Linked DNA regions of Drosophila melanogaster. The gene in region 2 interacts genetically with the main gene of each other region. Each region holds a gene or a part of one and is shown on either strand. Other genes may lie near its edges.

The links.
Region 1: of b (region 2) and r, changing one suppresses a phenotype caused by changing the other (phenotypic suppression), as found in Drosophila melanogaster (2 studies listed by BioGRID).

The regions. Positions count from the first base shown.
Region 1 is NC_004354.4:16,653,411-16,658,592, forward strand, and holds the start of r (rudimentary), read left to right. Parts: upstream 1-1,948; 5' UTR 1,949-2,199; intron 2,200-2,680; exon of another isoform or gene 2,681-2,749; intron 2,750-2,974; 5' UTR 2,975-2,987; coding exon 2,988-3,746; intron 3,747-3,810; coding exon 3,811-5,182. Other genes in the region: Nemp (nuclear envelope integral membrane protein), read right to left, coding at 26-658, 726-1,457. UniProt on the Drosophila melanogaster protein: Multifunctional protein that encodes the first 3 enzymatic activities of the de novo pyrimidine pathway: carbamoylphosphate synthetase (CPSase; EC 6.3.5.5), aspartate transcarbamylase (ATCase; EC 2.1.3.2) and dihydroorotase (DHOase; EC 3.5.2.3).
Region 2 is NT_033779.5:13,819,024-13,824,479, reverse strand, and holds b (black), read right to left. Parts: upstream 3,233-5,456; 5' UTR 3,094-3,232; coding exon 2,332-3,093; intron 1,799-2,331; coding exon 1,431-1,798; intron 1,367-1,430; coding exon 769-1,366; 3' UTR 501-768; downstream 1-500. Other genes in the region: PolG1 (DNA polymerase gamma subunit 1), read left to right, coding at 1-340; Sos (Son of sevenless), read right to left, coding at 5,102-5,145, 5,211-5,456.

The DNA.
Region 1 (5,182 bases), on a different chromosome or scaffold from region 2:
CCCTTGTGGTTGAGCTGTTCGTCCGTTATTGTACTACTTGCCGAAGGTCCACCTCCTGCTCGAAGAACTCCTCCTCCTCGCTGTCATCGGACTCCGACTCCGGCTCCGGCTCCGAGTTGCGGGCGGCCTGTTGATAGCGGAACTGCGAGTTGGGCAGCGGCAGTAACTCCGCTGGTTTATCCTCCTCAGGTTCCTCCACTGATTCCTCCTCGGGCGCCGCATCCATGGACTCCTCGATGGTGCGCGAGTGGTCCTCGATCTCTTCGTCGTCCAGATGCGGTGCTCCATTGGCGAACGAGGCGAAGCGCAAAGGATCACGCAGTTTGCCCATCACCGCCCACTGCTTGCACTCCGGACTGTTGACGTACTTGCGCAGGTCCGCCAGCGATTTCGAGGTCTCCACGGCCGTCTGCTGTTCGTACTCCTCCTGGGTGAGCATGCGCCTCTTTAGCGGAAAACGGCGGCGATACATGAACTTGATCTGGTTCGTCCACGAAATGGGGAAGTAGTGGGCCACAAAGACCAGCACCATGATGAAGATCACGGCGCTGGTGTGCCAGCTGCTGAAGTAAGCCATAACGGCGCCAATGGCCTGCAGCACCCACATGACGATGGTTTGCGATCGAGGATTCTTGGGCGGACCAATGCGATAGCAGATCTGTAGAATAATCGAGGCAATTAGCTGGGGTTATCTAATCAAAAGGGAATATCAAGTGACTACGCACCAGGAACGAGATCAGTCCGGTGATCACCAGATAGCCCAGCACATGGTCGCGGTAGGTGATCAGAATCAAACGCAGATTGTCCGCCAGCTGTTTGATCACATAGAAGCCAATGGTCCAGCCGCCAATTAGGACGCCATACATCATGGTACGTCGCGGAAAGAGTTTGGCGGCCAAATAGATGACCACCAGCAGGGAGGCGCATATGCCGATGACAATGCCGACCAGATAGTAGAACACACTGTTCTTTGCTAGCCGCCGGGCGCTGAAGAGGATCAGTATGCCGACGGCGAACTGTGCGAGACGCCACAGATCCAGCGGAATGCTATTCAGAATGACGGTGTACGCCTGGCGGGAGGAAATCCCGATGCACTGCTGCTCGAAGGGCGAGAGCTGCAGCAGCTGGCGCTTCTGCGCGAACAGGGTGATGCTGAACAGCGATTGCTTGTCCTTGTAGTGCTGCAACACCTCCTCCGGCGTCTTCCCACCGTACTGGGAATAATCATCGCTCCCGATGGCCAGGACGAACTCCACAGTCTCGAAGAGACTTGACACCGTCAGCCGTTTACCCGGATAGCAGAACGTGCGCAGAGTCTGCAGTCCCAAGATGTTCTCCGACAAATTGATGTATGTGCCCGGCGTCAGGTAGGCGACGTCCGAGGAAGCCGTATTGCCAGGAATACCCGATGTGAAATATCCAGCCACGGTTAGCATCAGTAGTCCAGCCGAATGCATTATGAACGGTTGCAATGGCGTTAATCTTATCAATCAGTGCGCTTTCAGTCTGTTGCTCTCGCAGGACGTTCGCTTGTTAAATGCTGACTTGCTTATGCTTGATGTTTTGATGTTTACTTTACTTTAAGGAATCGAATGAAAAAGCAACGCCGCTTTGGTTTATGTCCTCACTCACGACGGGACGGGCAGTATATCGTAACGTAAGAAAAATGTATCGATAGGTGTGTGTGTGACTACACTGTTGTGATTTCAAATTTGTGACTAACCATTTAATTGTGGATTATTTATTTCCTTTGGAATACTTTGCAGAACACCCCATTTAAACATGTTTGCTAATATTATTACAAATATCTTATCTTATTCATAACAATAAATGAATATATAACGTTCTTGCCAAGTTCCCAACCTGCAATATTACTTCTAGTAAAGTTCCACACCGCCGAGCTAAGCTCTTGCTGTGGCATTTTTTAGCACATAATGCACGAAGATTCCGATTCAACCAAGGCGGTGAATTCAGTTGTTCGACTTTGATTTTCCAGACGTTAATTGGAGCCAATTTGCAAGCAAACACAGTTAAATGCTCAAACTAAACATATCCGAGCAGTGCGAAGTTAACCAGCTCTAAAAGCGGTGTCGCAAAGTAAACAAATCAAGTTGTCAATCGAATTAAAGTCGAAACCAAAACGTGTTCACAACTACAAGTGCAGCAAAGAGAGAGCTTCGCTTGAAAGTACACGGAATCGTAAGTGAGCTGTAGTTGTAACGGGTGCAGATGGGAAAAGGATAACTTGATGGCGATACTAATGCATCGTAGCTTAAGGATTCTCAGTTGGTTAATCCTCAATTCCTGCCCAAAGTCCAATTCAAAGTTAAAGTCAATGTTATTGTTATTCTCATTTGCTGACCGAACCGGTTTCCAATTGGATCCAAACTTCTCACACGTGCTTACGCACACACAAAACGCACCCTCTCACACTCGCTCTTCCTCTTTCTTCTCCGCCGCTAGTCATCGTGTAAACAAACCGTGAATGGCAATATCAAATGACAACAGGAACTTGAAACGCTTGATAAGCAGTGTCCATTCCCAATCAGAACCGTGTTGTGCCCCGCTCAACATGTTGCCAGACAGTTAAATACATGCATACATTCATCTATCGCGGCTTCCTATTGGATTCTTTGTATATTTTCTTGGGCCGGCAAACTGTGTGCGTGTGACGGTGTGTTTATAAACACATGTGTTTTTTGAACAAGATAACCTGTGGAATTATATTACATTACATTTAAAATCGAGGGTATGCACGCGCTCTGCGTAAACATATAGCATAGTCATAGCATATACTCATTAAGTAAAGTTCCCAGAGTCGCCGAATATTGTTATCAGATTTTCGACTCAATATTGTGTCTACTTGCCTTCGTAGAGATATGATCTTTTAATTAATTAACTTTGCTCGTTTATTTAAGACGGTTTTCGAGTGACAGGTACTAAAGAATACCCTATGGTTTCCAATCCTCCCCAGCAACTCGTCCAATATGGCCTCTACGGACTGTTACCTCGCACTGGAGGATGGCACAGTGTTGCCCGGGTACTCCTTTGGCTACGTTCCCTCGGAGAATGAATCCAAAGTGGGTTTTGGTGGCGAGGTGGTCTTCCAAACGGGCATGGTTGGCTACACGGAGGCGCTCACGGATCGATCGTACAGTGGTCAGATCCTGGTGCTTACCTATCCACTGATCGGTAACTATGGGGTACCAGCGCCGGATGAGGACGAGCACGGACTGCCGCTGCACTTCGAGTGGATGAAAGGCGTCGTCCAGGCCACCGCCTTGGTGGTGGGCGAGGTGGCTGAAGAGGCATTTCACTGGCGCAAATGGAAGACGCTGCCCGATTGGCTGAAGCAGCACAAGGTGCCCGGAATTCAAGACATTGATACTCGAGCCCTGACCAAAAAACTGAGGGAGCAGGGAAGCATGCTAGGCAAGATTGTCTACGAGAAACCGCCGGTCGAAGGGCTGCCCAAGTCCAGTTTCGTAGATCCGAACGTCAGGAATTTGGCCAAGGAGTGCAGCGTTAAGGAGCGACAAGTGTACGGTAATCCCAATGGCAAGGGACCACGGATCGCCATTCTGGACTGTGGACTGAAGCTCAACCAGTTGCGCTGCCTGCTGCAACGTGGCGCCTCGGTGACCTTGCTCCCCTGGAGCGCTCGTCTCGAGGATGAGCAGTTCGACGCCCTCTTTCTGTCTAACGGACCTGGTAATCCGGAGAGCTGCGACCAGATCGTCCAACAGGTGGGTCACAATTGAATCATTTGGATAGAATATAATGCTAATTTAACTAATCTTTTGTTTCTAGGTGAGAAAAGTGATTGAGGAGGGTCAAAAGCCCGTCTTTGGAATATGTCTGGGTCACCAGCTGTTAGCGAAGGCAATCGGCTGCTCTACTTACAAAATGAAGTACGGCAATCGAGGACACAATCTGCCCTGCCTGCACCGAGCAACTGGACGTTGCCTGATGACGTCGCAGAATCACGGATACGCGGTCGATTTGGAGCAGTTGCCCGACGGCTGGTCGGAGCTATTTGTGAATGCCAACGACGGCACCAACGAGGGCATTGTCCATGCCAGCAAGCCCTACTTTTCGGTTCAGTTCCATCCGGAGCATCATGCTGGACCGCAGGACACGGAGTTCCTGTTCGATGTCTTTATGGAGAGCATTCAACAGAAGGATTTGACCATTCCGCAGCTGATCGAGCAGCGACTGCGTCCGACTACGCCTGCCATAGATTCGGCTCCAGTGATGCCGCGCAAAGTCCTAATCCTGGGATCCGGTGGACTGTCCATTGGTCAGGCTGGCGAGTTTGACTACTCCGGATCGCAGGCCATCAAGGCCATGAGGGAATCAAACATTCAAACAGTGCTCATCAATCCGAACATAGCCACCGTTCAGACCTCTAAGGGAATGGCCGACAAGTGCTACTTCCTTCCCCTAACACCTCACTATGTTGAGCAGGTGATTAAGTCGGAGCGTCCGAACGGAGTACTGCTCACCTTTGGCGGCCAGACCGCTCTCAATTGTGGCGTGCAACTGGAGCGAGCCGGAGTTTTCTCCAAATACAATGTCCGCATTTTGGGCACACCCATCCAGTCGATCATCGAGACGGAGGATCGCAAGCTCTTTGCCGAGCGGGTCAACGAGATTGGCGAGCAGGTGGCGCCATCTGAGGCTGTGTACTCCGTTGCCCAGGCACTGGATGCGGCCAGTCGCTTGGGTTATCCGGTGATGGCCCGTGCTGCCTTCTCCCTGGGCGGACTGGGTTCCGGGTTCGCCAACAACGAGGAGGAGCTGCAGAGCCTGGCCCAACAGGCACTGGCCCACTCGAGCCAACTAATTGTGGACAAATCCCTGAAGGGTTGGAAGGAGGTGGAGTACGAGGTGGTGCGCGATGCCTACAACAACTGCATTACCGTATGCAACATGGAGAACTTCGATCCCCTGGGCATCCACACGGGCGAGAGTATTGTGGTGGCCCCATCGCAGACCCTCTCGGATCGCGAGTACCAAATGCTCCGCAGCACCGCCCTGAAGGTTATCCGTCACTTTGGTGTCGTTGGCGAGTGCAACATTCAGTACGCCTTGTGTCCCCATTCGGAGCAGTACTACATTATCGAGGTGAACGCCCGACTGTCGCGCAGCTCCGCGTTGGCCAGCAAGGCCACCGGCTATC
Region 2 (5,456 bases):
CTGCTTGAGCTTCCATGATGAATTGCGCTACTTGGTCAAGGAAGAGCTATCGCCCAAAGCGGCGCTGGCCATGCACATCACAAACCTAATGACGCGCTCCTTTTGTGTGTCCCGCATCGGACTGCAGGATCTGCCCATGTCGGTGGCCTTCTTCTCGTCCGTGGAGGTAGACACTGTGCTGCGCAAGGAGTGCACCATGGACTGCAAGACGCCCTCGAATCCGCATGGCCTGCGCATCGGCTATGGTATTCAGCCTGGTCAGAGCTTGAGCGTAGCGGAGGCAATCGAGAAGGCTGGAGGCAACGATGTCAGTCAGTGGGATTGGATAAAGAAGAGTTAGCTGCCAAATACTAGAGATTAAATCATAAGTACTAAGTTGTTACTCAGGAAGTCAAGGAGACTTGGAGGCTGTTACTAGTTCCTCTTAAATTGTAAGGCCCAAAATGTTAAATATACATAAATCAAGTGTATTTGAAATAGTTAAGGGTTTGCAAACTTAATCACTATGTTTTTAAATAACCTTGCATTTAAAGCATCCTGTTGCCGATACGTTTCCCAGTTCCCAAGGCAAGGACACACTTTAATCTAAATGAAATGACCTATAAATATGTATTTTTGTTCTTTGTTTTTGGTAATACTTAACATCCAGAAAAATATACAAACGTGAGTAGTATTAGTTAACCATACACTAGAAGATACAATCGGCGTAAGCCTAAAGAGAATGTTGTCAACACCTAACCTCATAACATGCCATCGCCGCGTCACCGTTTACAAGTTTTGGGCGAGCGATTCGATCTCGTCCAGAAAGTAGACCATGTCCGACTCCTCCAGGCAGGAGTTCTGCAGCACCAGGCGAAAGAAGTTGGGCAGCTGGCGCAACGGCTGGTACGTGATCATCATGGAGCCCTTCTTGATCATGCCCTCCTTGACCTTCGGCGCCACCTTATGCAGACGGTCGTAGAACTCGCGATTGCGCTCCATTTCCCGCAGACCGGGCGGCACATACCAGAAGCTAATGTTGGTGCACTCGGGACTCTCGAGGACGAGCTCGAATCCAGGACGCTCCCTCACCTTGGCCGTGAAGAACTCGGCCATGCGGAAGACCTTCTCGACATGCGCCTCCAGACCCTGGGTGCCCTTCGCCTTCCACATGAACCAGAACTTGAAGACATCCGCTCGTCGGCCGCACTGGATGTGCTTGTCGCCGGTGTCGAAGGATGTGTCATAGAACTTGTCCTTCTGGAACAAGTATGTCGCATTGGTCGAATGGCACTGGGCCAGCACCTGCTGGTGACGCGTCAGGAAGGTGGAACACTGTTGCGAGGCAGCCAGCAGCTTGTGTGGATTCCAAGTGACCGAATCAGCCCTGCCAATATACACATCTTCAGTTTACCCCTCGAAATGAGCAACCAGGATATGATGAAACTCACCGTTCGATGCCATTGAGCAGATGGCGATACTTCTTGGACATGAGCGCACCGCCACCCCAAGCCGCATCCACGTGCATCCACATGTTGTACTTCTTGCACACCTCCGAGATTCCAGCCAGATCATCGAAGGCGCCCAGCACAGTGGTACCCGCTGTGGCCGATACCATCAGCGGCTGCCAGCCGTTCTCCAGGCACAGCTTCACCTGTTTCTCCAGGTCGCTCAGCCGCATCTTGCCCACCTCGTTGGTGGCTATCTTGCGCACATGATCGCTGCCGAAGCCCATGAACATGGCCAGCTTCTCCACGGAGTAGTGCGCGTCCTCCGAGGTGAAGATAATCAGCGGCTTGGCATTAAAGAGTCCGTTTTTCTGCGGATTGAAGAGGTTAATTTCGTATATTTATAAAAGTTAGTAATACTTTTTCTATATAGTATAACTATTTTTATAAAATCGATCTATTTAGAAAAGAATTCCTATTTCAATTCCGTAGATATTCGAGTTTTTTAAAGTTTTAATTCGTTATTTAGATTGGAATTTGAATTGAATTTTTTCAACAGACAAAAATGTAGAAAAATCCTTGAAAAGCACTAAGTTCTAAAATGCATTGTTTTAAAATACCGTTCTCTTTATCAGTTAAATTTCTATATAAATCGAAAATGAACATAAAAAGTATAATTTTTAGCACAGGAAATCATTAAACCTTTTTTATGAACCTAAATATGTGCCTTTTAATCTTGAAACACACATCTTTATAGTTTATTTATCTGATTAAATCGCTAAGAACTTTTAGTTTCACTTTTATATGTATATCACGGGCATGACTAACGATCACTCGCCAATCAGTGGATGCCGACTTCCGCGTGGATTGGCGGTAAACCACTTGGCTGCAATGGGGCACTCACCTTGGACTCGGGCGAGTGTCTGTAGCGGGCGCAGCTGATTGCATAACCGTTGGCTATCGAGCCGCCGGGACAGAAGATGCCATCACCCTGGCCGCCATTGGGGAAGCCCACAATGCGTCGCATCTCGGCCAACACCTGCTCCTCCATCAGCGTAAAGAGTGGAGCCACCTCGTACGTGTACACGCTGGGATTGAGGGCATCGGTGAGCCATTGACCTACCAGCGCGTATGGATCCACACCCGAGTACAACTGATTGATGAAGTACGGATGTCCTGTCTTCACGGAGAATCGAATCGTTTCCCGCAGCAGCTCGCGCAGCTTGTCCTGCGATTCGCCCTGCTCCCGCAGCTGGAAGTCAAAGAGCTGTCGCAGCTCAGCTGGCTCGTGCCACTCGACGACCTTCGAGGAGCGATTGGTGCCCTGGAAGACGGCCAGCTTGATGATCTCGTCGACGCAAGCGCGGATGAAGCCCTCGAACTCTGCCGCCGGATGGCTGGCCACAAAGCTGGATAGATCATCCTTGGTGCTCGTGATGTTGTTATTATTATTATTATTATTGTTGGCGGCGTTGGCCAACATTTTGCTGGCCTGCTCGAATGCAACTGTGGAGGTGGAATCAGCCGGTGACGACGTGGACGCCACCAACGCTGCCGTCGCTGTCAATGGGCTAACGCTTGCCAAATCATCGCCACTCGTCGTACTGTACGGCTTAAATATAGATTCCTTGAAGTGATGTGTGGGAAAGTTCTCGCTGGCCAGCATTTTATTGGCTCTCGTCTGCGGTTTATACTGTAAATGTCTTGGCTAGCGCTCTAGATTTCCGATGTACTAGATGGTACTGTTCCTGGTGCTGGTGCTGCTACTGCTGCAGATTGCACTTGACAGTGATTCCGTGTGAACTGAGTGAACAGGCGATGTTGTTGCCGCTTTTATAAAAGCTCGACGACTTCCACAACTCAGAATCCGAATCCGAATCCGAAACCGAGTGGCGCTTATTACATAAAGGCACTGCCGCTCGAGAGCCGACGCAGGTGCCGATCTCACCTGGCTTGACTCGTGGATTCTGGTTATGCGGCTGTTAGCATGGAAAGCACCTCGTTCCTGCGCAATGCAGAGCACTCAGAGCACCGGGATTTCCCTGGTCCACTCATCCCAGAATCGCAGAATCCCAATTTTGGCTGGCTGTTGGTTAATTGGCTGACTAATTGATATGCTCATGTAACACAATTATTTACGAGCAATTACGGCGCGCTGATTATGCGCCAAAGGTCTAATCTTCTCTAGCAATTTGCCGTGGCGTTTCTCTCTCATTAGCCGCAATCAAGTATGCATTAAATGCAAATGCATTGAATAATTCCATTCTTTGGCCAATTGCTAATTGTGTGAGAAGATGGCAGACTGGCACATACATACTTACATACATAGATTGCCAGTTGGTGTAGGTCGTCGTCTGGCTTCCCGATATCTTGGTCAAGTGTTGCAGGGAAAGCGAAATCTAATGGCGAATAGATATGATCGTGCTCGTCCGATGGCCTTGTCTATAGGGTATGGAGTGCATGGTGCTCTATAAATAAAGGTGCACCCCACCACCACCCCCCACAATTCAACAACGGAAATTCCCCGAGTGTCTGCTATGATGTATTGAGATGTGTTCATAGGACACAATTGGACATGAAAGATGGTCTGTCTTTCCCAGGAATTCCTTTCGGTTTATTCACCCTGGTAACCGCTGGTACTTCACCGAGGATCCAAATCGCTGCGCCATCAGGTGACACATCGCTTTTTGGGGACGGTGGCTGCTGCACACACATAACTCCCCCAAATAACTGACGATAAGGGGCTGGACACGAGCGTGAAAATACGAATATACAAATATACGAAAATAATTCAAAAAAACAACAACCGGTTCCCAGCGGCGAGCAGCCCAAAATTTCAGGAAGCATTTGTGCTCGACGTTCATGACGTTTTAGAAAAGCGAAAGTCAATCCGCGTTGTTTCCAATAAGCGAATGTGTGTGTCCAATTTAATTGCACCTAATGCAGTGAGACAACAATCGCTCTAGTTTTTCCTAACCCACCGAAACTAATTAGCCATATACACAATCTTAATAATGGCTGCGATTATGCTGGACACTGCGAGAATGTCAGGTGTGTTGCAGTCGGATGTCGGTTCACGTCGACTTCATCAAGGCCACTGGGCACATAAAGAATACCCACGATCTTTAAACGTTGGAAAAGCCTTGATAATCTATGCTATTTGCTCAGATTGCCTTGACTTTGGCTACAATACTCTATATTTCTGGTCATCGAAAGATGTCGCCAAGTGTCTAACAATAGGGTTATACTTTATTGTTTTACGTTCTACGATCAATACAATGTTCTCGATATTTACAAATATTTATAATAGTAATTATATAATAACATAATTTCTTGTTTGCATTTCTTGTTGGTTGCTTGGTTGCTTGCTTGGTTTGTGTGTCCTGCATTCCTATCCATATGCGCGTGCCTGTTGTGTGTAAATGAGAGCGTATTTTGTCTGTCTGTCTGTTCTACCTTGTTAAATGAGTGGCGAATAATCTAAATCAGCGGTTCCAACTCGTTTCATACTAGAATACATAAACTGCGCCTACGTATATATGTATATATATATATATATATCTCACGTTCCGTTCTCTCATATATATATCTGCACTCAAGCAGTGCTCGCAACTTTGAATCTTACGGATCATACTCGTAGTTTTCGTCCTTATCACATCGCCAGGCAATTTAAATTATTCTTCGTTTGTACTTGGGTAAAGAAACATCGTACCTTTATCTGCAAACGGATAGGATGGTTGGGTTAGGAAACACGTTATCACGGGCCGAGTTGGTAGCACTCACCTGGATTGTTATAGAAGTTAGCGCTTAGACTAGGTTTTGGTGGAAGTTTGGGTGTGCCCTCGAGGCTCGTGGCAATCGGAAAGAACTCCTTGGGGGACGAGCGCGACTGCGTCGGATTCGAATGGTGCTGGTGCGGATGGTGCGGCAGATGGGTGGCATGATGTTGATGGTGCTGCGAGTAGATCGCTGGATGCGTCTGCTGCTGCTGCTGCTGCCGCATTCGCAGTTGGTGGGCATAGCTGCTCG